7 linked regions of the Macaca mulatta genome follow. The protein of the gene in region 1 purifies or fractionates together with the protein of each later gene. This does not show direct contact. Links are inferred from orthologs where the notes say so. Each region holds a gene or a part of one and is shown in the gene's direction. Other genes may lie near its edges.

What was found.
Region 2: the proteins of UBE2O (region 1) and CAPZB purify together in Homo sapiens (affinity purification with mass spectrometry; 3 studies listed by BioGRID and IntAct, with this or other methods). This does not show direct contact. The link is inferred for Macaca mulatta from reciprocal best matches to the Homo sapiens genes UBE2O and CAPZB.
Region 3: the proteins of UBE2O (region 1) and RECQL4 purify together in Homo sapiens (affinity purification with mass spectrometry; 3 studies listed by BioGRID, with this or other methods). This does not show direct contact. The link is inferred for Macaca mulatta from reciprocal best matches to the Homo sapiens genes UBE2O and RECQL4.
Region 4: the proteins of UBE2O (region 1) and BUD23 purify together in Homo sapiens (affinity purification with mass spectrometry; 5 studies listed by BioGRID and IntAct, counting the BioPlex papers as one, with this or other methods). This does not show direct contact. The link is inferred for Macaca mulatta from reciprocal best matches to the Homo sapiens genes UBE2O and BUD23.
Region 5: the proteins of UBE2O (region 1) and NAP1L4 purify together in Homo sapiens (affinity purification with mass spectrometry; 3 studies listed by BioGRID, with this or other methods). This does not show direct contact. The link is inferred for Macaca mulatta from reciprocal best matches to the Homo sapiens genes UBE2O and NAP1L4.
Region 6: the proteins of UBE2O (region 1) and RPL23 purify together in Homo sapiens (affinity purification with mass spectrometry; 3 studies listed by BioGRID and IntAct, with this or other methods). This does not show direct contact. The link is inferred for Macaca mulatta from reciprocal best matches to the Homo sapiens genes UBE2O and RPL23.
Region 7: the proteins of UBE2O (region 1) and EPB41L5 purify together in Homo sapiens (affinity purification with mass spectrometry; 3 studies listed by BioGRID and IntAct, counting the BioPlex papers as one, with this or other methods). This does not show direct contact. The link is inferred for Macaca mulatta from reciprocal best matches to the Homo sapiens genes UBE2O and EPB41L5.

Annotation. Positions count from the first base shown.
Region 1 is NC_133421.1:86,146,271-86,150,183, reverse strand, and holds part of UBE2O ((E3-independent) E2 ubiquitin-conjugating enzyme), read left to right. Parts: intron 1-165; coding exon 166-275; intron 276-418; coding exon 419-569; intron 570-794; coding exon 795-1,267; intron 1,268-1,726; coding exon 1,727-1,881; intron 1,882-2,132; coding exon 2,133-2,245; intron 2,246-2,333; coding exon 2,334-2,480; intron 2,481-2,824; coding exon 2,825-2,914; intron 2,915-3,910; coding exon 3,911-3,913. UniProt on the Homo sapiens protein: E2/E3 hybrid ubiquitin-protein ligase that displays both E2 and E3 ligase activities and mediates monoubiquitination of target proteins. Negatively regulates TRAF6-mediated NF-kappa-B activation independently of its E2 activity.
Region 2 is NC_133406.1:221,632,156-221,635,361, forward strand, and holds part of CAPZB (F-actin-capping protein subunit beta), read left to right. Parts: intron 1-1,089; coding exon 1,090-1,192; 3' UTR 1,193-1,202; intron 1,203-3,206. UniProt on the Homo sapiens protein: F-actin-capping proteins bind in a Ca(2+)-independent manner to the fast growing ends of actin filaments (barbed end) thereby blocking the exchange of subunits at these ends.
Region 3 is NC_133413.1:154,940,644-154,944,912, reverse strand, and holds the start of RECQL4 (ATP-dependent DNA helicase Q4), read left to right. Parts: upstream 1-1,469; coding exon 1,470-1,730; intron 1,731-1,795; coding exon 1,796-1,829; intron 1,830-1,938; coding exon 1,939-2,033; intron 2,034-2,256; coding exon 2,257-2,397; coding exon of another isoform or gene 2,398-2,404; intron 2,405-2,679; coding exon 2,680-3,453; intron 3,454-3,550; coding exon 3,551-3,677; intron 3,678-3,977; coding exon 3,978-4,109; intron 4,110-4,192; coding exon 4,193-4,269. UniProt on the Homo sapiens protein: An ATP-dependent DNA helicase which unwinds dsDNA with a 3'-overhang in a 3'-5' direction. Does not unwind more than 18 bp of dsDNA. May modulate chromosome segregation. The N-terminal domain (residues 1-54) binds DNA Y-shaped DNA better than ss- or dsDNA.
Region 4 is NC_133408.1:51,181,157-51,185,069, forward strand, and holds part of BUD23 (18S rRNA (guanine-N(7))-methyltransferase), read left to right. Parts: intron 1-148; coding exon 149-244; intron 245-330; coding exon 331-413; intron 414-516; coding exon 517-613; intron 614-3,913.
Region 5 is NC_133419.1:2,877,180-2,881,092, reverse strand, and holds part of NAP1L4 (nucleosome assembly protein 1-like 4), read left to right. Parts: intron 1-1,569; coding exon 1,570-1,711; intron 1,712-2,280; coding exon 2,281-2,367; intron 2,368-3,863; coding exon 3,864-3,913. UniProt on the Homo sapiens protein: Acts as a histone chaperone in nucleosome assembly.
Region 6 is NC_133421.1:63,144,562-63,149,165, reverse strand, and holds the start of RPL23 (large ribosomal subunit protein uL14), read left to right. Parts: upstream 1-1,550; 5' UTR 1,551-1,580; coding exon 1,581-1,593; intron 1,594-2,187; coding exon 2,188-2,271; intron 2,272-2,302; exon of another isoform or gene 2,303-2,437; intron 2,438-2,568; coding exon 2,569-2,697; intron 2,698-4,604.
Region 7 is NC_133417.1:17,461,336-17,465,248, reverse strand, and holds part of EPB41L5 (band 4.1-like protein 5), read left to right. Parts: intron 1-3,142; 5' UTR 3,143-3,150; coding exon 3,151-3,330; intron 3,331-3,913. UniProt on the Homo sapiens protein: Plays a role in the formation and organization of tight junctions during the establishment of polarity in epithelial cells.

The DNA of each region.
Region 1 (3,913 bases):
GTGGGCCGTGGTTACAGTTGGGGTCTGCTCTGATGTGTCTGTACTTGGTGCTACACTAGGAAGATCAGTTTCCTGCTCTGGAGGTCGAGTGGGCTTTGGGCAACTGGCTAAAGAGAATGCTGTCAGAGCCTGCCCTGACTGGCGTGTCCCACCTGCCATCCCCAGGTGCAGGTTGTAGAGTTGAAAGTTACATGGATTACCAAAAGTTTCTGTCCAGGGGGCACGGACAGCGTCAGCCCCCCACCCTCTGTCATCACCCAGGAAAACCTAGGCAGGTGAGCACGCCCTTACTGCCAGCAACCCAGGGGCACGCGCGGAACAGGCCTCTGGGCCCTGGCCACATGCCCGGGGAGGCTCAAGAACACTGCTGGCCTCCCAGGAGTCCAGCTCAGCTCACCCCTGCTTCTTTCCCAACCAGGGTGAAGCGTCTCGGATGCTTTGACCATGCTCAGCGGCAGCTTGGGGAGCGCTGTCTGTATGTCTTCCCAGCCAAGGTAGAGCCAGCCAAGATTGCCTGGGAATGTCCAGAAAAAAACTGCGCCCAGGGGGAGGGCTCTATGGCCAAGAAGGTATGTCCTTGGGGTTGGGGGTTGGTGGGCATTTGAGGAACTGGCCTTGAGCCATTTCCATGGCCAAAAAGGACAGTCTGTGCTTTAGGCCTTGGGGGGCAGCCCTGATGACCCTTGCCGGCTACTCAGGTGTATACAACTGTCATCCCCCCAGCCTGAGATGCCTAGGGCCAGGCCTGCCCAGGTGCACCTCACAGCCCTGTCCTCTCTGCTCCGCCCTTGCAGGTGAAGCGCCTGTTGAAGAAGCAGGTTGTGCGGATCATGTCGTGCTCCCCAGACACCCAGTGTTCCCGGGACCATTCCATGGAAGACCCAGACAAGAAGGGGGAAACCAAAGCCAAGAGTGAAGCAGAGTCTGCCAGTCCCGAGGAGACGCCTGATGGCTCTGCCAGTCCAGTGGAGATGCAGGACGAAGGTGCAGAGGAGCCCCACGAGGCAGGAGAGCAGCTGCCCCCATTCCTGCTAAAAGAAGGCAGAGATGACAGGCTGCACTCGGCAGAGCAGGACGCAGATGATGAGGCTGCTGACGACACGGACGACACCAGCTCAGTGACCTCCTCTGCCAGCTCCACCACTTCCTCCCAGAGCGGCAGTGGCACGAGTCGCAAAAAGAGCATCCCCTTGTCCATCAAGAACTTAAAGCGCAAACACAAGAGGAAGAAGAATAAAATCACTCGAGATTTCAAGCCAGGGGACAGGTAAACTCAGAGTTGTGCCCCTCCCCAGTGGCGTCAGCGTGAAGCCAGGCAGAGTGCGCGTCCCCTGGGTGTGCGTGCCTGTGCTCGCACACACACCTCTGCATGCCTTGTAGTGGCTCAGGGACGCCCATCCGAGACAGCGTAGGTGCCTGGGGTAGGCCCTGGTGGAAAGCGGAGACTGAGGAGTGGTGCAGAGGGTGGGATGGTGGTGGCCTTAAGCTTGGCCTTCTGGGAACACATTTGCCTGAGCTCTCCCAAGTGGGTCTCGTTCTCAGAGAGTGCATGGCCTCGGAACCCTGGGTGAGCTTCCTGTGCACCAGAAACTCATCCTGCCAACTTGGGATTCGGAGTTTCAGGTTACTAAGCCCACAGGGACAGGAAGGGACAAAAAGATTCTCTGCCCTTTCCGTGGGCGGGGGTGGCGTTTGCATGGCCTGCTGACTGGCCTGCATCCGGCAGGGTGGCAGTGGAGGTGGTGACCACGATGACCTCAGCCGACGTGATGTGGCAGGATGGCTCTGTGGAATGCAACATCCGCTCCAACGACCTCTTTCCTGTGCACCACCTGGACAACAACGAGTTCTGCCCCGGAGACTTCGTGGTAGATAAGCGAGGTAGTGCCAGCTCTGGAAGGGCAGCCAGCAGGGTGGTTGCCAGTGAGGGCCCAGGTTGGGGCTTGTGGAGAATGGGCAGTGGATCTGGGGTCAGAGCTAAAATGAGGTCCAGAAGGGGACTGCCCTCATGAAGGGGTCTCACCACTTCCAAGACAGGGGAAGGTCACAGTTTGCACCCTGCACTGGCTTGAGATGTCGGCTCCTTAGCCGGGATCCCTTAGCTAGTCACGTCCCTTCCTCTGGTTCCCTAGTCCAGAGCTGTCCAGACCCTGCTGTCTACGGCGTGGTACAGTCTGGGGACCACCTCGGCCGCACCTGCATGGTGAAGTGGTTCAAGCTGCGGCCGAGTGGGGACGACGTGGAGGTGTGTGCAGCCCCTACTGCTTTCTTCAGGTGGGCTCTGGGGTTAGGTGTAGGACCCGTAGCTCATGACAACCTGTCCTGTGCCACAGCTGATTGGAGAAGAGGAAGACGTGAGTGTTTACGACATTGCTGACCACCCTGACTTTAGGTTCCGTACAACTGACATCGTCATCCGCATCGGCAATACTGAGGACGGGGCTCCTCACAAGGAGGATGAGGTGTGCCTTCCAATTCAAGTTCTGGACCGCTGCTCACTGCCCTGTGCACCAGCTGCAGTCCCTGATGCTGCCACCAGGTGGCTCTAGGAGACAAGACCTGAAAGTCCTCTGGGCTCAGTGTCCCCAGGGCAGCTGCCCCAAAGTCAAGCTGCTGCTCAGCCCTAGCAGCTGCAGAAGGACTTGTTTCCCTGCCTCGCTTCTGGGGTCAGGCTTCTTCAGCTGCCGCTGGTTACGTTTACCAGAGGAGCTAAGTTCTTGTCACGAGCTGGGTGGGCATGATGTCAGTCACTGCAGAGCACAGGAGGGGCTGGGGAGCTGGAGCTTGAGCTGGACCCCCTGACTTTGTCCCCTTTGCCCGGCAGCCATCGGTGGGCCAGGTGGCCCGTGTGGACGTCAGCAGCAAGGTGGAGGTGGTGTGGGCTGACAACTCAAAGACCATCATCCTGCCCCAGGTGAGGCTCTGGCAAGACCCCCCACTGGGCTTGTGACTATGGCAGCTTGGGCTGGGGACCATAGTCGTGTAGCCAGAAGATGGGCTCTCAGGTCTTCCTGGTGAGATCTCAGCAAAAGCATGAGGGGGCAAGGCAGGCATTCCACACAGCCCTTGGTGCAGGGTTGGGGGCAGCCCGCAGTTGGCCCACCAGCCTCGCTTCTCCCAGCAGTCTCTTCCCGGCCATCCATCGCTGGTGCATGTAGACTTTCACAGACCTCCAGGATTTTCCTGGATTGTCAGCTCACTGTGCTGCGAAGAATGCAAGTTCCCTCCTAAAAGGAGATGGAAACTTTCCTACCACCGTTTCTAGAAAGCTCTAACAGAGAAGGAGAGAAAGGAGCTGGTGCAGTTCTAACCCCAGCTGCTGGGTCCTGAGCAGAAGAGCTACATGGGCTCTCCTTCCCTCGCCTCCTGGTTGGAGCCACACAGCCCAGCTTTCCTCTCCTGGTCCACACAGGGGCGGGAGTGGGAGTGGGAATGGCTTGCCCCATCACCTTAACGGCCATTCCAGGGAAGGCAGCAAGATGTGTCGGCCCTTCCACATGTCCCCTCCTGTCATATGTTCCCAGCTCCCAGCGCAGCCCCACACAGACCTCCTTGGCTGTATCATCAGCTGACCCTGAGCTTTTCAGGTGTAGGGCTGGGCCTGCCAAGGTCCCCTACTGCCTTGGGCAGATGCTGACCAAGTGCACAGAGCAGGAGCAGAGGCTGGAACAGACCACTGGCTGGGGCTTTGGGTCCGGCTTAGGGGTGGCACAGGTGAAGGGCCTCTCCCAGAGACCTAGGGACTGCAAAATCCAGAGCAGAGGGCGGGGAAAGAATGGAATGAGGTTGCCAAGGCCTCATGAGCCCAGTCCCCATCAGCTGTGAAGGTCATGGATCCCCAGAGCTCCTCCTTAGTGGTGGGGAGGTGACTTCCTGTCTGCATTACCCTGGCACTTCCTTCTGCCCCCAGCAC
Region 2 (3,206 bases), on another chromosome or scaffold:
AGCCATGACACTACATCCCAGGCAGCCCGGCCGCCTCTGGCTGGCCTGCTTTCCGAGACAGCAGAGCACAATGTGCAGGCAGGGCCCTCAGCCCGGGCCTTCTCAGGGGGCCCCCAGCCTCTCTGACGTCCTCTGCCAGGGCTCTGCTACCAGTGGCCAATGTCCTGCACTGTCCCACCCACCTCGTGCCCTCGTCTCTGCAGTGTCAGCCTGAACAAAAGCTGGGGGCTCTCTGGACCCTCCAGGTCCATGGTGGACAGAGCAGGAGGCAGGCCTCTGACATGAGGCCAGAGCCCAGCTGGGGGCAGTAGACAGCTGTGGAGTGAGCACTGGCCTTGGAGTCAGGAGGCTGGGATCTCCCCTAAGCTCTGTCATCCTGAGCTGTGTGGCCTCTGGCACTCCTCGAAGAGGCCCTTGTCCGATGGAGGAGGCAGGGTCGGCTGAGATGGTGAATCTAGAACACGCTCTGCAGTCCAGCAGCACCATGTGAGTCGGGCCATGCTATGCCCTTAGCAGCCAGCCCTCTCACCCACTGCCGTGACATAGCTCTCACAGCCCAGCCCAGAGGAGAGGCAGGTTGCAGTTCTGTTGCTGCACCAGCTCATGGACTGGGGTGGGTGACAGATTTCAGTCGCCTGCTTTATAGTTTTAAAACAGAGGAGTCCTCCTCTTTGGACCCTGGTCTTCTGATCTCCTGCCCACCTGGGGGAGGTTTGGTCTTCATGACCTGTGACAGGGTCAGAGCCCAGTGGTCCGTGGTGTTAGGCCTGCCACCTGCAGCCACTGCCCAATACACCAAACGCACTTTCCCGCCCAGCCAACCTACACAGTCCCCAGGCAGTGGCTGGGAAGTGGGGGAGAGAAGCGGAAGAGCCTATGGGTGGTGGTGGCGAGCCCCTGAAAACCACGGCCACCGCCAGCGTGGGCCTCTGCAGCGGTGATACCACTCTACAGCCCAGAGCCGCTGCGGCACCCCCCTTCCGCCTCGTGGGTCTCCCTGAATTTCCTCCTCAGCTGTGGCCCCCTGCGTTCCTGGCTTCTCGTGGTTCTCTTCCCTCCCACTCCACTCATCTTGAACACTCTCTGTAGATCTATTGATGCTATCCCTGACAACCAAAAGTTTAAGCAGTTGCAGAGGGAGCTCTCTCAAGTGCTGACCCAGCGCCAGATCTACATCCAGCCTGATAATTAAGCCGATCCAGGTACCCTGCCTGAGAGCCGCGAGACCCTCCCCACTAAAACAGGACTCACCAACCCGCCGAGACCCTGCCGGTCCGGCTGCTGCTGCGCGGCCATTTAAAACACCACTAACCCCCACGTGTGCTCCCGGCCGGTGCGCAGCCGCATTCCCGTGTAGCCGCGGCCCTGTGTAACACGGCACCTATCACGTGTGTGCGCTTTCCACTCTGGGCGGAGGTTGGGTGTGGGGAAGACGGCTGATTTTTTGGCTTTTGCTTCTGAAAAAACCCAGGCCAAGGGACGGATGCTGCCTCTCCAGCAGCAGCCCCTTGTGTGCACCGGCCTGACTGTCCCCAGGGCAGGGGTCTGCGTGCTGTCCACTCCCCATGCTTCAGAGGAGCCTCGGATGCTGGTGCAGGGATCCTAGAAGCCTTATAAGCCCCTGTTCAGCGGTACATTGGCTGTCCAGGGCTAGCTGGCTTGGAAGGGGTGACCTCCGCTCTGATCTCGGAGTCTCTGGGGTTGGAGGGCAGAGTCAGGGCTGGACTCCACCCCGGCCGGCCCCGATGCTCTGCTGGAGCTGCCTGGACGCCCAGTGCAGACTCGGCCTCAACCAGCATAACCTTCCGCCCCTAACGAGCTGCAGCTGTTCCTTTAAACAGGTTCTGCGGATGGAAAGGAAAATAGTCTTGCTTGTTGGTAATGGCCAAGAACCATGACTTGAGCTTGTGACAGATCCAGATGTAGGGAAGGAGGCAGCATCCCTGGAGAGCAGGAGGGAAACTTGTCTGTAAAAGAAGGCATTTGGAACCCTGCCAGCTGGGGCTGCAGAGTCCAGGTCCAGGGGCTCCACACTGAAGGCCCACCCCAGAAGGGGGTGCAGCAGGCTTTCCAAGGTGGAGGTGGGGGTCAGGCACTTAGAAAACCAGGCGGAGCTGCTTTTCCAAGGCCGTGGGACTTAAGTGCACCAGTCTAGTCTGTGTGTGCCAACTTAAGGCCCAAGACTCCGGTCAGCCTCACAGTGGGGCCATCAGGCATTTCCATCGTGGCATTGAGAAAAAACCCTTTTTAAGGTACACTGTGATGGTGCAGTTACCTGGCCGCCCACTGGGGGCGTCCTGGCGTAGAAACCCTGACAGCCAGGTCTGCTTAGGACGACTCCTCCCTCCCACAGAGGCGAGCTCTGTCTCCAAGCGCTGATTCGAGGGTGCTTGGCCGTGACCTTCCCAAGCTCTGTCCCTTAAATGAGCCCCCTGCTCCTTCCGCCTTCCACCATTTCACTTCTAACTTCCTGTGTCTAACTTGATTCTGGCTCTGGAACTTTCTCCTTTGTGCAGTCCAGCCAAGACCTGATGGGCTTGGCTCTTCCTTCCCAGAAGAGCCAGTGACCACCCAGGCTAGGGGTCTTGTGCGCTGCTGCTTTGCCCACCGCATCTCCTGCTGGCCATGTTGACCTCCCGCTGTGAGCTTGGCAAGAAGCCCCTGGGGAATCGGCTGAGATTTGGAGCCTGAGGGTCATGAGGGCTGATGCCTTTGGCTGCTGCAGAGCCAGGGACAGTCCTGGGAAGATACTCAGAAACGTGTAGTTCCCCAGCATGAACCAAATGTCCGCGTTTCTCCTGGGAGTTTTCTCAGTTGTATGCAGCTTGCTTCCAGGTCTTGTCTGTGGCACCTGCTGAGTATTTTGAGGGCTCTTCCTGTGACTTGTAGGGATTCAGTAGCCGGAACTCAATCTGGGTGCTGTTGCTTCTCCTGGGCCCTGCTTCACTTCTATTTACCCATTTTTGCATTTGGGGACTGATTTTTCTGATTCTTCCTTCCCATGGCTGGTGTGAATCAAACGTGAGAGTCCAGCTGAGTGCACCCTCCGTAGCACTCTTGGGCAGCCCTCTACCCACTCCTTCCACTGCTTCTAAACTGTTATAAAACCCACTTTTAGGAAGTCATTGCCTAACCAATATGTTGGGTAAATTTGACAAAATGATCAAAGAATTGCTAGCGGGCATTCCTCTGGGCCTCAGTTTCCG
Region 3 (4,269 bases), on another chromosome or scaffold:
TGCTTGGGTGTGCTTTTGACAGATGCCTGTTGCCTTGCAGGGCCCCCCATGGGTACTTCAGGCCTCCCAAATTACAAAGCTGCTTCACAAAACCTTCTTCGAAACCTGAATAAAGTCCAGGCCTCTCCCCACCAACCTTCATCAGCATTAACGTTGACGGGACACTCCAAGGAGTCAAGCAGCCAAATCACGTTTCCCTCCCCTCTCCTCACAGAGGCTCTCCAGGGCTACCCTGGGACTCCACAAAACAACAAAGAGCTGGAAGCACAGATGCAGCTTCATAAGCAACAGGGCAGGTTGAAAAGACCGAGACCTAGGGAATACTGAGTCCAGATGATGTAGCCTATGAAATCCAAGCCTTCAATATAAGCCCCCCCCAAAAAAACTATTCTCCAGAGTGTCACCAAGCACGAAGACCCCTGAAAGAAAGCAACCTTCACCTTTGGTGGCTCTTACCAGTGGCCTAAAACCTCTCCCTCTTCCCTGGAGAGCCACTGTGGAAAGAACAAGTCTTAAGTATGTGGGATTCGGAAGGTGCAAGGCTACAGATTGCTCAGACAAGGCAAAGAAAGCTGCCTAAGCAGCACTCAAGCTGCAGAGATGCGCGCGAACACTCCCAAGGCCACAAGGTACCTGTGACACAGGGTGCCAGCCCTGCTGCTGACTGCAGCATCCTCAAAACTAAATCGCAGCCATCTCCCTGTGACAGATTAGAAAATGAAGGCCTAGGCCTGGCCCAAGGTCACAGCCTGAGTGACAAGTCAGGGAAGGGGTCTAGGGAGGACACTCTGGCCCCAGGGCCCTTGTTTTTGCACATACAAATAAGTCCTTAAAGAACCGCTTCCTGAAAAGTCCCAGACACCAACCCTCGGTCTCATTCTGAGATCTCAACGGTCATACCTCGCTCTGACAGGACAGACCAACCGAGCACCTGTCACGGGAGTACACGAAAGCAGACGGCCTGGCCACCAAGGGAGGCAGGCACCTCCGTGCGAGGCCCCCGCCCCTCCCGCCGGCCACGGGGAACGCGTCGGCCCTCGGCTGCCTGCGTTTCGAAAAGACGCCCCCGCCCGGCTCCTCTGGGCCTCCAGTCGCGGGAGGCGCTGGTCCCTCCGCTCTTTCTTGTCCCGGGCGGGGCCTGCTCCTCCAAGCCAGGTGCGTCTCCCACCAGGGCCTGACGCCGCTCCGACCGGCCGGGGGACTCCCAGTCCTTCCCGGCCCGCTATGGCACCGCCCGGGCTCCCGGCTTCGGCCCCGGGCTCCCAAATGCAGCTACTGCCTCCCTCAGCCGGGCCGCCCCGAGCGACCGCTGCCACGCCCCTTGCGGCCAGGCAGGGCCAGGGACGTACGCCGCCCCACTCCGACCCCCGCCTGGCCGCCCGCGCTCACCGGTCCCGCAGCCGCAGCCACCGCCTCCGGCCCCGCCTAGACCGTCCGCCGCGCCCCGCACGGCGCCGCGGCGCCCCGCGATGACGTCGGCGCCCCCCATTGGTTGCTTGTCCAGGGCCCGGCGGATTGGCTGCCTAGTCGCGGTGGCCCCGCCCCCGGCCCGCCGCGCGCCCGCATTGGCTGTTGGCCCCATCGTCTGCGGCGCGGGAGATTCGCTGGGCGGCCGCTGGACTGCTCGGAGACCTGGCGGGCCCGCCATGGAGCGGCTGCGGGATGTGCGCGAGCGGCTGCAAGCGTGGGAACGCGCGTTCCGGCGGGAGCGCGGGCGGCGGCCGAGCCAGGTACGGGATGCCCTGGGGCCGAGGGGCTGAGGGCGCGGCCCGCGGCTGACGCGTTCCCTTTACAGGATGACGTGGAGGCGGCGCCGCAGGAGACCCGCGGTGAGCGCGCGGCGGGGTGGCGGGGTCCCGGGTCGACGGAGGCGGGAGGACGCCAGGTCGGCGGGGGCCCAGGCTCCACCCTGACCCCGCCTCCCGCCCGCCCACGCAGCGCTCTACCGGGAGTATCGTACTCTCAAGCGGACCGTGGGCCAGGCCGGCGGCGGGCCCCGCAGCTCCGAGTTGCTCCCCGTGGCCGTCGAAGAGGTATCCAGGCCCCGCCACCCCAGCCTCCTCCCACTTTCCTGTTTGGCGGAGTGGCAGGAGCCACGGAGTCGCGGCCAGGCCTCCGTGGGGCACAGAACTTGGGAGGGGGACTGAGCAAAGTGAAGACGGGCCGGGCCTCGCTCCAGGTGTGAGGGGGTGGGTGGGAGCGCCTCTGCTTCCACACCAGCCTTTTTCTGGCCTGCGCCCCTACTGTCTCCTGCAGGCACCAGAGTCCCACTGCTGGGGGCCCCACCTGAATCGGGCTGCAACCCACAGTCCACAACATACGCCAGGGCGGAGCTGCCAGGGGTCGGTGCCGGACTACGGGCAGCGGCTCAAGGCCAACCTGAAAGGCACCCTGCAGGTGAGGAGTTAGCAAGCAGTGAGTCCACACTAGGTCCAGAGGTGCTTCTGGCCCGGGGTTCTTTCTTGTCACTCTTTCCACACAGACAGGCACAGGCTCCTGTGCCAACCAGGGCACGAGTCTCCACGGAGTTTCTCGGGGCCTTCGCCCTTGACTCCCTTTCTAGGCCAGCCTTGTGCTAATTAACCTGTCTTACCATTGAAGGTGGGAACTCAGGCAGGTTTCAGAGTCTACAGAAGCCCAGGGGCCTGAGTTTCTGCTGCCATTCTGTTCCCTTCCCAGGCCGGACCAGCCCTAGGCCGCAGACCCTGGCCTCTAGGAAGATCCTCATCCAAGACGCCCACCCCAAATCCCCCAGGCACAAGGCCTGTCCCCACCTTTGCAGAAAAAGTCAGTGATGAGCCTCCACAGCCCCCTGGGCCCCAGCCAAGGCCGGGCCAGCTGCAGCACCTGCAGGCATGCCTGAGCCAGCAGCTGGCCTCCCTAGATCTTGACTGGTTACAGCGATGTCACAGTGAGATCCCAGACTTTCTGGGGGCCCCCAAAGCCTGCAGGCCTGGCCTAGGCTCAGAGGAATCACAGCTTCTGATCCCGGGTGAGTCAGCTGTCCTTGGTCCTGGTGCTGGCTCCCCAGACCCAGAGGCTTCAGCCCTCCAAGAAGTCAGCATCCGTGCAGGGAGCCCCCAGCCCAGCAGCAGTCGAGGCAAGAAGCAGAGACGGAACAAGGAGCTCTGGGGGAGCCCCGCACAGGTCCAGCAGCAGAGCAGCCAGGCTGGACCCCCATCGGAGGGGGCTGGGGCTGTCGCACTTGAGGAAGACCCTCCAGGGGAACCTGTACAGGCACAGCCACCTCAGCCCTGCAGCAGTTTGTCGACCCCCAGGTACCACAGATTCAGCACCTCCAGTCAAGCTAGGGCGGGTAAGGCTGAGGGCACAGCCCATCTGCACATCTCTAGGCTGGCCCGCCATGACAGGGGCAATTACGTACGGCTCAACATGAAACAGAAACGCTACGTGCAGGGCCGGGCACTCCGTGGCAGGCTCCTCCGCAAGCAGGTGAGACGGCGATGGACTGGGACAGGCCCTCCCTTTCCCTCCCCTCAGCACCCCTGCATGTCCCACCCAGTGACCCTCCTATGTGGGCACCCTTCAGGCATGGAAGCAGAAGTGGCGGAAGAAAGGGGAGTGTTTTGGGGGTGGTGGTGCCACAGTCACGATCAAGGAGTCTTGTTTCCTGAATGAACAGTTTGATCACTGGGCACCCCAGTGTCCTCAGCCAGGTGAGACATCTGCCCTGGAGGGTGGGTCTGGCCACCACTGTGGAGAGGGCACGGTACTCTTTTGGGCGACACTTCTGTTCCAAGCAAAAGACCTTCCAGGTGCCCCTGGTCCAGGCCCTACCCTGGCTCCCCCAAAGCAGGGTGGCAAGGATGAGGATGGGTGTCAACCTTTTATGCTTTAGAAGAAGTAGCACAGAAGAAGGGCACTGCCTGCTGCCAACCCCTTTGGGGAAAGAGAAGGTTGTGGCCAATGGTTGTTTTGCTTGGAGCTCCCATTCCACCTTCTCTTGCCTGCCCCAGTAAGTGAGGAAGACACAGACCCTGCTGGCCCTGAGCCGCTGGTTCCTGCACCACAACCTGTGCCTGGGGTGCCCGGCCTGGCCTCCACCATGCTGCCACTCTACTCCTTGGGGCCCTCAGGGCAGCTGGCAGGTAAGCAGTCAGCTGCTGGCCCAGAGCCTTTACCGAGGGGTTGGTGTGACTTAAGTCATGGTGGTCAACACCTGTGTCTGCAGAGACGCCGGCTGAGGTGTTCCAGGCCCTGGAGCAGCTGGGACACCAAGCCTTCCGTCCTGGGCAGGAGCGTGCAGTC
Region 4 (3,913 bases), on another chromosome or scaffold:
CTCAACTTAGAAGGGGTCAGAAAAGAGTACCTTGGGATGATTGATCCTTTTTTTTTTTTTAACTTGGCTTTTTTTTTTTTATTTGGTCTGGGGGAGGTATTCACCCAGAACTCCTTTACCATGTCCACTTGTGTTTCTGCCTTCCCAGCTCACGGATGATTGATATCCAGACCAGGATGGCTGGGCGAGCACTGGAGCTTCTTTATCTGCCAGAGAATAAGCCCTGTTACCTGCTGGATATTGGGTGAGATTCTGGGGCCTGGTTCAGATTGTCTAAGGTGGTGAAGTACCTTTGCAAACTGACCGTGAGTCTATGATCGTGTCTTCCAGCTGTGGCACTGGGCTGAGTGGAAGTTATCTCTCAGATGAAGGGCACTATTGGGTGGGCCTGGATATCAGCCCTGCCATGCTGGGTATGTATGTCCTGTCTGGCACCAGGGTGGATTACCCTGATGGGTGGGTGTGGAGAAGCCACAGGTATTGTCTCTTTCTCTGATTGCCTTTTCTCTAACGTAGATGAAGCCGTGGACCGAGAGATAGAGGGAGACCTACTCCTGGGGGATATGGGCCAGGGCATCCCATTCAAGCCGGGCACATTTGACGGTTGCATCAGGTGAGGGTCTTCACTTCCTGCTTTTATTTATTCAGAGACAGGGTCTCAGTCTGTCATTTAGGCTCTAGTGCAGTGTCTGTGATTACGGCTCACACTGCAGCCTCCACCTCCTGGGTTCAGGTGATCTGCCCACCTCAGCCTCCTGAGTAGCTGGGACTACAGGCCCATGCCACCATACGTAGCTAATTTTTTTTTTTTCTGTTGAGACGGAGTCTTGCTCTGTCACCAGGCTGGAGTACAGTGGTGTGATCTGGGCTCACTGCAACCTCTGCCTCCCAGGCTCAAGTGATTCTCCTGTCTCAGCCTCCCAAGTAGCTGGGATTACAGGAGCGTGCCACCACACCCAGCTAATTTTCGTATTTTTAATGGAGACAGGGTTTCACCATGTTGGCTGGGATGGTTTCAATCTCCTGACCTCGTGATCCACCCGCCTCGGCCTCTCAAAGTGCTGGGATTACAGGTGTGAGCCACCGTGATCAGCTTACTTTTTTTTTGTATTTGTTGTAGAGATGCCATGTTGCCCAGGTGATCCACCCACTTGGGCCTCCCAAAATGCTGGAAATTACAGGTGTGAGCCATCCCGGCCACTTCCTGCTTTTAGTCTTGCAGGCCAGTGCTTCCCAAACCTGGCTGTGCAGCAGTCACGCAGATATTTACAAATACACATCCCATGGGATTTTCAGATTTACAAGGTTAGAATAAGGCCTAAGAGTGTATTTTTTTGGATTCTAAAACTTTTCAGTCTGGCCAACACAGTGAAACCCAGTCTCTACTAAAAAGCCAGGCACGGTGGTGGGCACCTGTAGTCCCAGCTAGCTACTCAGGAGGCTGAGACAGGAGAATTGCTTGAACCTGGGAGGCAGAGGTTGCAGTGAGTCAAGACCACACCATTGCACTTCCAGCCTGGGCGACAGAGCAAGACTTCATCTCAAAAGTAAAACTTGTCTACTATTGTGATTATTTTGCATTGCCGGGTTCAGGCACCACTGGTACGGATTCTATGTTGGCTTTGTGTGTCTGGTGGGGGAGGGGAGGTGGTCTTTTAGCCTCTAGCAGCCATTTAGCAGACATCTTGTGGGCCCCAACAGCCATCTTTATTTGCCAACAAATAACTCTGGTGGAGAGCGGCGGGGCTTGCTCTAATCTCTTCAGTGCTCCAGAGTCCTTTCTCTGTAATCAGGGTTGGATTAAACATCGGCATAGCACTTTGATAACAGATCTTAGAGCGTTAAAATTGATTACGTTTTCCTTAGGCTGCTGCAATCAGTTCTGTGTAGTTTTTGGTGCAGTGTGAGAGTGAAGGTAAGAAAATAGGGGAGACCTCCTTTGGTTACCCTAGGTTGAGTGGTGAGGATGTGAAGTGGGGAGCCAGGTGAGAGGTAAAAATTTGGATTAGAAGATTTTCCTTTTACATCTTGGAACAAGACCCAGAGGAGTTGGGGAATAATTTCAAGGGTAGCAGATGCTTTTTGGTAATGGTCTGGTGAGGTGTTCTAAGCTGTGAAAAGCCGAAGGCCAGCAGTATGGTCTGTATGTTTCGGAAGGGGGGTGGTCAGTTTTGTCTCTCTTGGGGGAGAGGTGAAGTGGTATAGCACACTTTTTTTTTTGGAGATGGAGTCTCACTCTATTGCCCAGGCTGGAGTGCAGTGGCACGATCTCAGCTCACTGCAACCTCCGCCTCCCGGGTTCAAGCAATTCTCCTGCCTCAGCCTCCTGAGTAGCTGGGATTACAGGCGCTCACCACTATGCTCGGCTGATTTTGTATTTTCGTGGAGACGGGGTTTCATCATGTTGGCCAGGCTGGTACTGAACTCCTGACTTTGTGATCCCCCTGCCTCAGCCTCCCAAAGTGCTGGGATTACAGGTGTGAGCCACCACTCACGGCCCAGACTTTCTTTTGTAAACGTTTGCTACATATAAGACATACAAGTTGCTGTGAAGTACGGAGATATGAAACAGTCTCTCTGTTTAATACTCTCCACGGTTTATTAGGTGCTTTAGGACTTGGACCAGGCAACTGAATATAAGGCCGTGAGTGGTGTGTGCCCTAGAGAGTTGTGGGCTGCCAGAGCACAGGAAAGCCTTGGGTGGAGGGGCTGCACCTTGAAGGCTGGGAGGAATTTGGATAGTCAAGGAGAGGGTTTCCGAGTGAGGGAACAGTGGGCAGAGGCACTGACGCTAGTGGGAAAAGGGTCTGAGATGAGAGTGATGAATGAGAGATTCCACAGAAGATGGCGTTGTGTGTGGTTGGTTCCTAGAAGGCACTTAAGTATGTCCTAAGAAGTTTGGGCTTGATGGATGATGGGGAGTTGGCAGGTGACGGGATCAGATGTGTGTTTAAGGAAGGTGATTTTCAGATGGAAGAGGAGAGGGAGTTAGGTGGAAACATTTGAGCTGGTAGCGCTGAGCATTGGTGGGGGGACGTGAAAGTTGGGAGAGGCTGTGGGAGTGGAGGTAGGGCTCTGCATGTGTGTGTACAGCAGAGGGAGGGGAAGGGCAGGAAGGAAGACATAGTGACTGCTTGAGGGTTTTTTTAGTTTATTTTTTGAGATGGAGTCTTGCTCTGTTGCCCAGGCTGGAGTGCAGTGGTACAATCTCAGCTTATTGCAAACTCCGCCTCCTGGGTTCAAGTGATTCTTCTGCCTCAGCCTCCTGAGTAGCTGGGATTACAGGCACATGCCACCACGCCGAGCTAATTTTTGTATTTTTAGTAGCAACCGGGTTTCACCGTATTGGTCTGGCTGGCCTCAAACTCCTGACTTCAGGTGATCCACCTGCCTCAGTCTCCCAAAATAGTGGGATTACAAGTGTGAGCCACCGTGCTCGGCCGCTTGAGGTTTTAAATCTGGGGGTTGTGAAAACATTTAACAGGTAGAGTGGAAGGGAGTGATTTAAGAGGAAGGGTGATGGGGTGGCTGTGTGTGTGTGAATAGTCTAAAGCCTGTTTCCTTGGATTGGAGGAAGGGAACAAGGAGAGTGGTGTGTGGGCAGACAGTCTTGACACGGAGGAATTCTCAAGTTGAGATGCAGATGGAAACAAGGTTGAGGAAAGGTTTCTGGGACTGACTGAGGGACATGAATGCTGTCCTTCTGTATGTCCTATTTTCCCAGTGTTGTAGAATCATGACCTGCAGTATACCTGCACTTTTTTCTTTGTCTTTAAATTTTTAAACTTTAAAATACTTTTGAGTAGAGATGGGGTCTTGCTATGTTGTCCAGGCTGGTTTTGAACTCCTGGCCTCAGGCAATTTTGTCTTGGCCTCAGAAAATGCTGGGATTACAGGGCGTGAGCCACTGTAC
Region 5 (3,913 bases), on another chromosome or scaffold:
CACTGCACTGCAGCCTGGGCAACAGAGTGAGATCCTATCACAGTAAATGAATGAATGAATGAATGAATGATCAGTGCTGAAAAGAGGTACAAGTGGCAGTGGGAGTCTATGATTTTGTTAAATTCTTTTTGCTTTTCCCTTGTTCTCATCTACTACTAGCAGTAGTTCTAGAATGTTAAGCATTATTTGAGAGTCTAAACTAAGGACCTTTAGCTTGAGGTAACTGTGATTATATTTCACCCAGGAGAGTGGTCCTTTGGGATGCAAGGCAGTTGTTCTAATACCTCCCAGACCAGTGATATGTGTGTGTGAATTGCCTGCTGCTCTGTGCTGTGTGGTGTTGGAGGATAAGTCAAGTGCTTAGACTTGAGAACTCTGATCGTGTGAATGGGTATCTAAGATTCAGGACCCAGGGCCCTGCCCCAGGTAGATTATTTGGGTCTGTGATGAGGCCGGGAATCTGCTGTTCAGTCCACATGATTATGACCAGGGGCTTTGCTTTAAGCAAATAGTTTTGATAGGTTAAACAGGGATTTTTCTTCTGATTTATAGAAGTTATACATACAAACTAAAATATTTTTTAAAACATAGAACAGGATTGAGCAAACTCATAGTTGACCTGACTCTCAAGGACAAAGTTGTGTTGCCTGTGGTCTGTGTTTCTCAGATTTTTCCTCCAGTGTGTTAACAAGTATGGACTCCCACGTGGCACTAAATATTCCTGTACAATGTGATTATAAATAGGCCATATTTGAATACCGTTGAACTTCCATTGTCCAGTTTTTCACTTGTACAGATCTATCGATGGACAATCCAGCATAAATACTTGATTAGGATAAATTTTTTTTTCCTTTTGGTAAGATAGGGTCTTGCTCTGTTTCCCAAGCTGGAGTGCGGTAGCACAATCATAGCTCCCTGCTGCCTTGACCTCCCAGACTCAAGTGATCCTCCCACTTCAGCTTCCTGAGTAGCTGGGACTACAGGGGCACACTTGGCTAATTTTTTAAATTTTTTGTAGTGAGGGGTTTTGCTATATTGCTCAGGCTGGTCTTGTAGTCCTGCCCTCAAGCCGTCCTCCCACCTTGGCCTCCCAGAGTGGTGGGATTACAGGCATGAGCCACTGCACCCAGCCTTAAGGATAAATTCTTAGAAGTGGAATTACTGGGTCCAAAGAACACTTTCAGTATTTCTGCCCTTAAGAAAGATGAGTCAGAGGGCTTCTTGACCCTTAGCCTCGTAAAACCTAGGTGTTTTGTTTTGGTTTTTAATTGCCAATTTGGTAAGGAAAAGATGAGCATTCTTAAATGTTTGCATTCTTTTGGATATTTTATGAGATTGAATCTTTCTTCATGTTTGACAATTTGTGTTTTTTCTTTTGTGAATTATCTTTTCTGCCTCCTGTATCCTTTTTTTCCTATTGGGGTATTTGTCCTTTTCCTAATTTTTAAGAGGTCTTGTTCATTATGTTAATTCCATGTTAACCTAAATTTGTTTTAATAAAATTGAAAAGCATGGTGCCTTATTTTGCAGGCATGAGGATGTTGTATTTCTTACTCCTTTTTTTTTTAGTTTACCTAAAGCAGTAAAAAGAAGAATTAATGCATTGAAACAACTTCAGGTGAGATGTGCTCACATAGAAGCCAAGTTCTATGAAGAGGTACATGACTTGGAAAGAAAGTATGCAGCACTATACCAGCCTCTTTTTGACAAGGTAGGGAACTCTCTTAACGAATTTAATATACAGATAGTCTTCAACTTACGACGGTGTTAGGTTGTGATAAACCCATTATAAGTTGACAACATCTAGGGTAAGAACGCATCTAAGCTACCAAACATAGCTTAGTCTAGACTACCTTAAATAAGCTCAGAACACTTACATGAGCCTGCAGTCAGGCAAAATCATCTTCCACAAAGCCTATTTTATAATAAAGTGCTGAGTATCTCATGTAATGTATTGAACACTACACAGAGTGGAACAGAGTGTGGCTGTATTGGTACTCAAAGTGTGATGGCTTCTGCACCATCATGAAGTTGAAAATCTTTAGTTGAGCCATTGGAAATCAGGGACCGCCTTTATTTTAGATCTTTAGGTGAAACATCCAGATTTACCCAGGAAATCATTTAATATTTTTCTTTGAACCCTAAAATTTAGAATCTTAAAATAAGTTATAAAAATACCCAGTTTTCAAAGTCTTTTTGTAGACATTATTTATAAATTTAACTCTTGAGTTTCCAAGTAAGCTAATAACACAATTCTAATAAGGTCTCATTTTTATGTAGAGAAGAGAATTTATCACCGGTGATGTTGAACCAACAGATGCGGAATCGGAATGGCACAGTGAAAATGAAGAGGAAGAGAAATTGGCTGTAAGTCTTTTGAAAAATGTGACTTATGTTCTGTTTTAATACTATTAAAAATAAGCATTTTTTAATGATTTTTAATGACTAGTAAACTTACGTGCTTCTAGCAGTAGGTGCTGCTGCATCATTAGGTTGGGTTTAGATTCCTTTCTGATACTGATCTAGCATCTGGCACAGTACTGTCAGTTCATAGGAGGAGTAAGATGTAGTGCCATGTCAGTTATCTGTGGACAGGAGCATATTGAAATAAAGGATCAGACAATAAAGATTAAAACATCAGAGAAAGCAAAGATCAAGAAGAAATACCCCTGTGTTCTCAGTCACTGGAATATTGGGGGAGTTGTGAGGGGAGTGCCTTCCTGCTCAGTGGCGTGGACTAGCGTGCTCCCTGACAGGTGCTCAGCCAGTGGATTGGTTGCGTATGGTGGTTGTGGTATGGCCGTCAGTTACCTGCTCACAGCCGTGAAAGCTCCCAGTGTCAGCCTGATTTTATGTTTGGGAGACAAGTAACTTTTATCCTATAACTAACTTTTGGCATGGTTTTTTTCTTTTTTTTTTTTTTTTAAGGTATATGATAATTTTGGTAGCCTTATGTGTTTTTTGATCTTTTTAAAATATGTAGAACCTGGCCAAATTGAAGCCATGGCTGTGGATTGATACAGTTGTGAATCAGCTTCTAACAGCTCAAGGAAATCTGCCTTCGCTAATTTAAAAGGCCTATGAGATCATTTCATCATAACAATCCCATTTGGCAAGGCATTCAGAATCTCCCATAGTTCCATTTAGTGTTATGTTTTACCTCCCTTGGTCTACCTTTTCCCTGGGGCCTGATGTTATAAGACTCCCCTTCACTTTACCATGTACCCTTTCTGATCACTTTCTGATGCTTGCGTTATGTCCATGAACCAGCATTTATAGCCACCTGCTTAAAGCTGGATAAGTTGCTGAGCACTTTCTTGCTGCAGATACTGCTGCAGCAAATGTTTTTTTTTTTTTTTTTACTTCAACTTACTGCCCCTACCCCACAAATTTTAACCAGAGGTCAGATTATTAGTCCAAGTGAACTTACTGATCCTTGGACTGGACTTTTTTTTCCCAGTGATAGATGTTCTGCATATTTGCATTCCATTTCCTTAAGGTTGATGTACAGTCTTTGCATCTGCATTTGTGATGATGATTGTCTCAGGATGGCACCTCACAGAGTTAGCACTGGATGACCTTTCCCAGAGTTGGTGGCACTTTGTCATCTCTTCAGTTTCTTCGCCTTTGATGTGAAATCATAAGGAATTCCATGTGGATATAACGCCTTGACTGCTTTTTTCCCTCAGAAGCATCTGAGAAGTGTTGCATGGCACAGTGAATGGTTTGGAGATGCAGACTCTGAAAGAAAGGTTTTTGATCGGAGATAATACAGGATTTGGAAATGGTACTCTACATTAAGCCACTGCGTTATTTTTAAATTTGTATTTTTTGCGATCTTTTTGCATCTTTATTTTTTTTAGGGAGACATGAAAAATAAAGTAGTCATAACAGAAAAAGAAGCAGCAACAGC
Region 6 (4,604 bases), about 23 Mb from region 1:
CTAACAGCGGTGAGCCGGGAGCAGGAGCGTAAGGATTGGCGATCCGCAACACCTACGACGGCGTCTTTCTCAAAGAGCTATTTATATATATATTTTTTGAGACGGAGTCTAGCTCTGTCGCCCAGGTTGGAGTGCAGTAGAGCGATCTCGGCTCCCTGCCACCTCCGCCCCCCGGGTTCCAGCGATTCTCCTGCCTCAGCCTCCCGAGTAGCTGTAGCTGGGATTACAGGCGCGTGCCACCACGCCCAGATAATTTTTGTATTTTTAGTAGAGACGGGGTTTCACTGTGTTGGCCAGGCTTGTCTCAATCTCCTGACCTCGTGATCCACCCGCCTCGGCCTCCCAAAGTGCTGGGATTACAAGCGTGAGCCACCAGGCCCGGCCACTATTTGTATTTTACACTTGATCTTGGCCAAAAGGCCAAGAAGCGATACTATTTATATTTTTATAATACTTATCCCCATCTAACATACTACATACTGCAATTATTTATTATATCTTTTGTTTAGTGTCTAATATCCTCCTCCACCTGCACCCCAGCAGAATGTAAGCTCCATAAGGACAACAATATTGATCCATTTTGTTGTCTGATGTAATCCGCTGTACGCCCTGGACAGAACCTGCTACAAAGTAGGAGCTCAGTAAGTATTTGAATGAATGCATCGTGGCACGGGAAGAACCCAGAAGAAAGGGGCGGCTGAAGCTGTGAAAGGAGCAAGTGGCCTGGCGCGGGGGCTCACGCCTGCAATCCCAGCACTTTGAGAGGCCAAGGCGGGCAGATCACTTGAGGTTAGAAATTCGAGACCAGCCTGGCCAACATGGCGAAACCCCATCTCTACTAAAAATACAAAAATTAGCCCAGCGTTGTGGTGGGCGCCTGTGGTCTCAGCTACTCTGAGGCTGAGACAGAGAACTGCTTGAACCCGGGAGACGGAGGTTGCAGCGAGCTGAGAGCGCGCCACTATACTCCAGCCTGGGCAAGAGCGAGACTCCGTCTCAAAAAAAAGAAAAAAAAAACAAAAAACAACTGTGTGTGTGTGTGTGGGGGGGGGGGCGGGTCAATAAACAGAGCAATACTGTATATGTAAAATACAGAATAGTATGGTACCAAGAACACATAGATGGAATGATCTGTAGCACTTCTCAATTGTATTACATTCAACGAAACCGTTTGGAGCTGGTTCTCCCCCCTCCCCCACTGTCTTTGTTTCTTTGGGAACCCCCACACGGCACAAACCGTGTTTTAATTCCTATTCTCTAGTGTGCAGATAAGTGCCTGGCACGTATTAAGTTGTCAAAAGAGGTCGTGAGCAAGTTAACAAATCACTGCTTCCATGTCCCTAACTACTCTTAAGCTCCTGGAGAAGAGATTTCCTATCTCTTGCGCTTCTACTTCAACGCCCACTTCAGAGAGGGCTCAAAGTAACGTCGTGAACTTAATACGCAATAAGGCAGCGCCCAGAGGCGGAAGAGGCAGAGTTTTTAGCTCCGGCCACGTGACGAAGGTGGGCGGGGCGTCAAAGTTCATATCCCAGCGTCCTTTGAATCAACTTCCTTTTTTCTTTTTTCCGGCGTTCAAGATGTCGAAGCGAGGTGAGGTTTTGCTTCTGGAGGATCCTCCACCATCTGTCGTGCAGTGGCTGGCGGATTCGTCAGGAGCGGTGGCCCTAGGCAGCTGGGGCGCTTTGCTCTCCTTCAGGCCGGAGAGGGAGAGCCAGGCCATCGCAAGAGCACTGCCAGGGCCCTCGAAAGTGGCAGTGGGGTGCTGGAGAGTTGACATAGCAGGATCCCGACATGAATATAGTCTGGATCCCGCGAGATCGCTCTGCGAATAGGGCTATCGTATTGGGGTTGAAGTTAGACTGGATTAGGCCCTGGTTTGCGCGACCTCTGCGGTCTTATGCTTTGCAGGAGCAATTGCGTTTTGCGAAAGTTGGAACAAGGGCTGAGTCGTCTAGGTTCCTTAATTTCGATGTCAGAGTGGTAATAGTGAGAAATAGGCTACTTTCCGTGAGAATCGGGTGGCACACGGGGAGGGCATAAGTAAAATCCGAGCGAGCTAATCTATAGCATACCATCTGTCAAAGTATGTGCGGTGAATTACAGTTTAAGAGTATGAGGGGGAACTGCGAACCATGTCTAGATAGTGATCTCTTTATCCTGTTTACCTTCCCTTTATATCCACAGGACGTGGTGGGTCCTCTGGTGCGAAATTCCGGATTTCGTTGGGTCTTCCGGTAGGAGCTGTGATCAATTGTGCTGACAACACAGGTGAGGTCTTTGACTGCAGGTTGCTATACTCCCCCTTTTAAAAGCACTCAATGGGCCTGTGCCTAATGACCTATTGAGCCGTCAAGAAAGGGGAGAGTGAAAACATCGCTTTTGGGTGAAGTGGCAACATGTTGTGTTGTTTGCTTCAATCGGTGGTGTGACAAGGCGTTCTTGAGGACTAACTGCTTGGGCAGTCAGTGGAGGGAGGGACTTTGGAAGTGTTTGGGAAATGTAATACTGATGGAACGGCCTGATGGGCCCTCAACATTTTTCATTTTTATTTACATTGATTTGTAGGAGCCAAAAACCTGTATATCATCTCCGTGAAGGGGATCAAGGGACGGCTGAACAGACTTCCCGCTGCTGGTGTGGGTGACATGGTGATGGCCACAGTCAAGAAAGGCAAACCAGAGCTCAGAAAAAAGGGTGAGTAAACACTGAGCCCACCTTAACACTGATAAGTAGTGGGGGGACTCTTTCCTTTATTGGAAAATGGATCAGTTTTCAAGGCCTCAAGGTTGTTTTCCATTGAGAGGCAATGTGAGATAAGTATCTTAAGTTTTTGTTCATATTATGTTGGAGGGGGGACCATCATCTTGTCATTTCCATACTTTAGATTTATTTATTTATTTATTTTTTGAGATGGGTCTCCCTCTGTCGCTCAGCCCACACTGGAGAGTGCAATGGCACGATCTTGGCTGACTGCAACCTCTGCCTCCTGGGTTCTCAAAAAAAAAAAAAAAAATTAGAAAATGAAAACGAGAAGCTGCTCATTATTTTATTTTTATTTATTTATTTTTGAGATGTAATCTCACTCTGTTGCCCAGGCTGCAGTGCAGTGGCACATATCTTTCTGTTCACTGCAACCTCCACTTCCCAGGCTCAAGTGATTGCCCTGCCTCAGCCTGCCGAGGAGCTGGGATCATAGGTGTGCGCCACCACACCCAGCTAATTGCTCATTACTTAATCTCAGGCTACCCCCTCATAAGTTTTCCTGTCAGCTGTATGATTTAAAGGGGGAGGCCTCAAAATACTTGCAGTTTGTGTCCTGTCCGGCTTTAGAACTTCTGGTATTTGATGCATTTTAACTTCAGCTCTTGCAGTTTTTTCCTGTGCCTGCCTAGTCTGTCTCTACCCTGGGATGTCTTGCTCTTCTAAAGAGTTCATGGCCATCCCTTGAGTTACAAATATGATGTTGATTTGTTAGCCATGTGTTACAGTTACTCCTATTCCTGTATCCACCCCACGATGCTCTCCAGTAGATTTTTAACCTTTGGGTTAGAAATCTTTTTTTGTTTACCATTAATAGCCACTTGAGGGCTTGGTAGCACTGTGCTTGTGATTCAGCAATTGCATGGGCTTTTTCCTCTTCTCAGAACACTTCCTGGGTCTGATTGGTGGCCCAGGGAGCTGTTAGAGAAGAGCAGAGCAAATGGCCATCACTTTGTAGATGAGATGGCAGGAGAGTGGATTGTTGGTCTCAGTCAGTGGTGGGACAGACCAGAGCTCAGAACACTTCAGTTTTAAAACGAGCTGTGAGTATCCAATTCTGTTAATGTCTTTTTTGGTCCTTGTTTCTGCTAAATGAATACATCCCCTCCCCTTGGAACTTAATAAATAACAAGCACAGAAATGTGCAAAAGGGCCAGGTCTATTTGTCTACTTGATGAATTTGTGAGCATTTAATGGTTTATAAGTAGAGGAGGGTCAGTAAGTATTGGCTGCCTCATGTGTGTCCCATTGCTAACTTGGTTAGACTTATCTATTTTTTGTATAGTCTTCCTGTCATTATAAAAATTCTGTGTAAGGACCCCACGCTAGTATCAGTGAAGATTTGAATCCAGGTGTGTCTGACTCTACAATAGTTCTTCACAAGCATTATATTTTACTGTGTAGTGATACTTGATTTTGAAAGTTGGGAAAAGCATCTTTTTCACTTTAGTACAGATGGGTGTAAAAGTTACTTATGACACTGGAAAGTAAAACATTAAAAGTAAAACATAAAGCCTGGTGTTTGGGCCCTGGAATTCCAACTGTTTTCCAGTATAAATCTGAATAGCTTGGTCTCTGCTCATTGCCAGGACTGGGAGCAGTTGGGGGTCCCAGGTCCCATTTCTACATCCCAAGTCAGTGATACTGGGATCTTAATAACCCACCTGTGAGGTGAAGTTGGAAAAGGCATAGGCAAGGATAATTGTCCTCCTGAGAGTTTTACACTTGCGAGAAAATACTGGCAGCTTTGATTTTAAGATGTGAATAGATGGTTGTGGTTCATGCCTATACTCCCAGCACTTTGGGAGTAAAAAAAAAAAATCTGGGCATGGTGGTGAGCA
Region 7 (3,913 bases), on another chromosome or scaffold:
TTTAGGTTATCCTTCCAGAAATAGAACTGTTGAGTAAGGAGTATGCATGTTAAAATTTTTAATATTGGCCCAGTGAGGTGGCTCACGCCTGTAATCCCAGCACTTTGGGAGGCTGAGGTGGGTGGATCACCTGAGGTCAGGAGTTTGAGACCAGCCTGGCCAACATGGTGAAACCCAGTATCTACTAAAAGTACAAGAATTAGCCGGGCGTGGTAGCTGGTGCCTGTAATCCCCGCTCCTCGGGAGGCCAAGGCAAGAGAATCGCTTGAACCTGGCAGGCAGAGGTTGCAGTGAGCCAAGATCGTGCCATTGCACTCCAACCTGGGGAACAAGAGTGAGACTGTCTCCAAAAAAAAAAAAAAAAAAAAAATTAAAAAAAAATATTAATAGCATGGGCAAATCTCCCTCCAAAAAAGGCCAATGTATGACTCACATTCTTTTTTTTTTTTTTTTTTTTTTTTTTTGAGATGGAGTCTCGCTCTGTCGCCCAGGCTGGAGTGCAGTGGCCGGATCTCAGCTCACTACAAGCTCCCCCTCCCGGGTTTACGCCATTCTCCTGCCTCAGCCTCCCGAGTAGCTCGGACTACAGGCGCCCGCCACCTCTCCCGGCTAAGTTTTCGTATTTTTTAGTAGAGACGGGGTTTCACCCTGTCAGCCAGGATGGTCTCGATCTCCTGACCTCGTGATCCGCCCGTCTCGGCCTCCCAAAGTGCTGGGATTACAGGCTTGAGCCACCGCGCCCGGCCTTCTCACATTCTTTTTAACACTATCTTGAGTCTTTAAATGACAGACGGATGGTATCTTATTTTTTTCATTTGGATTTTCTTGGATACTGTTAAAGGTGTTCGTTTTTATGAACATCTTTCAAATTATCTTTTAGGAGTTTTTCATATCAGGCTCTTTTTTTGATACAGCATCTCACTCTCAGGTTGGAGTGCAGTGGTGGGATATCATAAAATGTTTCTTGGGAGATATTGGTGGAGTTAAAAGGAATATGTAGGGATTCTGTGACACAGGATTTTAGAAAGCTGGGATAACAAGTACTGTCTTAGGCAGCTGAAATGAGACTGGATAGCAAATTCCAAAGGGAGAAATATCTGGAGAGAGAGTGGGATCAGGTATTATTATATATGAGTGTTTGGCACACTGGAAAGTTACCTAACTAAAATTTTAGTTATCTCCTTGGGATTAGTTTACCTAATTACACAAGAGTATACTTGTATAAAATGTGTAGGTTAATCTTCGGTGTATAGACATTTTAATATGGTAGTATCTTAAAAATTGGATTTTATCAGGTTTATAAATAAATCTAGTTGAAAAAGTCATTTAATCTGAAGGCTTCTCTTGAAAAACAGCATTCTTCTGAATTCTTCTGCTCCCTCTCCCAAGGCAATCATTTTCACATTTTAAATCAAATGCTCTTACTGCTAGTTCTTGATTTTTTAATTTTAGTGATGACCTGTTGGCTTGCTGTTACGCATGATGAGGAATTAACTCTTTTCGTATCTGTATCCCCTACCTCTTATTATGTACCTCCTCTCTGTTGTAGTTAGTTATTGTTTGCTCAATATTTAGTGTTTGACATTTAAATCATTAGCAGCTGAGTCATCTAGTGTATTGTGATTTACTTTTCCTTTTCTGCACAGCTTCTTGTTTCGTTTGGAATTAATAGCCTTTTTGGCTTATTTGGTGGCTTATGTGTACTTAAACTCTCTTTGTTGTGCAAATGAAACGCATTAGGATAGCAAAGTGACTTTGATTTTGTGTTTCCATTTAGTGTGCTATGTTTTAAAACCCGTTTTAACTGTTTTGATTAACATTAATGTTCTTTATAGAGATAAGGAAAAAAGTAGCGTTAAAGTACTTTGACATTAAAAAGATTTATGTTAAGTAGTTATTTAAAATCTGTATGTAATAGAATATTTGACAAAACTTATGAAATTTGAATTATATTTGTATTTTAGCTGAAATAGGTGATTGTTTTTATATTTTTGTTATGAATGCTCAGAAAAGAAATGGAACTTCTCAGGACTTTTTTTTTTTTTTTGAGACAGTCTCGCTCTGCCACCCAGGCTGGAGTGCAGTTGGCGTGATCTCAGCTCACTGCAAGCTCCGCCTCCTGGATTCAGGAGAATGGCTGAGCCATTCTCCTACCTCAGCCTCCCGTGTAGCTGGGACTATAGGCGCCCACCACTGCGCCCGGCTAATTTTTTGTATTTTTAGTAGAGATGGGGTTTTCCCGTGTTAGCCAGGATGGTCTCTATCTCCTGACCTCGTGATCCACCCGGCTTGGCCTCCCAAAGTGCTGGGATTACAGACGTGAGCCATCACACCCAACCACTTCTCAAGATTTTTATGATCATCAAAGGATACCTGAGTATATCTTAGGATATACAAGATGTTGTACATATAATTTACCTTTTTAGAAGACCTGATGAACTTCATGAGTGTTTGCCTTCTCCTGCCAAATCAGTTCCTGATAAAATGGTCCAGTAAATTTAGAAAGCTCCAAACAAACCGTGGCTATGTCTTATACATACAAGTCTTTTAAAACTTTGAATTAAAGTAACCAGATTTTTAAATTAACTTTTTAATTGACAAAAATTGTGTATATTTATCATGTATAATATCTCTTGAAATATTTATTAAAAGTAGCCAGTTTTAATGATTTTTTTCAGATTTACTTGACCAGGAGACCTTTTTATTTTTTGTTTTATTTACTGATTTTTTGAGACAGGGTCTTGCTCTGTTGCCCGAGCTAGAATGCAGTGGTGCAATCCCAGCTCACTGCAGCTTTCACTGCCTGGGGTCAAGTCATCCTTCTGCCTCATAGCCCCTCAAGTAGCTGGGACCACAGGTATGCACCACCACACTTGGGTAATTTTAGTTTTAGTAGTGATTAGGTCTCACTGTGTTGCCCAGGCTGGTCTTGAACTCCTGGACTCTAGTAGTCCTGCTGCCTGGGCCTCCCAAAACGTTGGGATTGCAGGCGTGAGTCACTGCACCCAGCCCAGGAGGCCTTTTTAGTAGCATTTCTACTAATTTGCACAGGACTTGACTAAATAATGCCATTTGACTGACTGCAAGTTGTGGAGAATCTCATTTTTTTGCTGATGCCATCTTTTTCTCTCTGCTTTTATAGTGACAAAAATGCTGAGTTTCTTCCGTAGAACACTGGGGCGTCGGTCTATGCGTAAACATGCGGAAAAGGAACGACTCCGAGAAGCACAGCGCGCAGCCACACATATTCCTGCAGCTGGAGATTCTAAGTCCATCATCACGTGTCGGGTGTCCCTTCTGGATGGTACTGATGTTAGTGTGGACTTGCCAGTAAGTAGGTCTTGCCGAACTCCAAATTCTGTTTGCGATTACTGTCTTTGTTTGTTTGTTTAAAAGCTTTGTATTGATAACTTCTGGATCGTAATCGGTAAAGGTACTATGGGTTAATATAGTTCAGGCACTGTAACATTCGGGTACACGGATCAGATAACTGTAGACCAAAAGTACTTGGATTGATGGTATTTCTCTTTGGAATTAGTGGCAATTACCTGAAGCATTTAGATGATAGAGCAGTTATTGGCATGAGTCCGTTTTGTGTGTGTTTATGTGTGTTCTTTGTGATGGCAGCACGTAATGTAGTCTAGTGGATTTCTCACAATCCTTGTTGAACAATTATTAAAACATTGTGACTCTTTGAGAATAACAACACTTCCATGTGTACTGTAAGACTTTTAGTTTTCTGTGCACTTCTGTATTTTTTAAAACTCTCCTTACTTTCTTCAAAATAAGTATTTCCCCACAATTTGGTTTACTTGCAGACATTAATTAGGTGAAGTGAGAAAAAGGACTTTCTTCATACCCCTCAGCTCTGACTGTCTTTCTCTTTGCTCCCGAAGTATTTTGCATTGTAGGT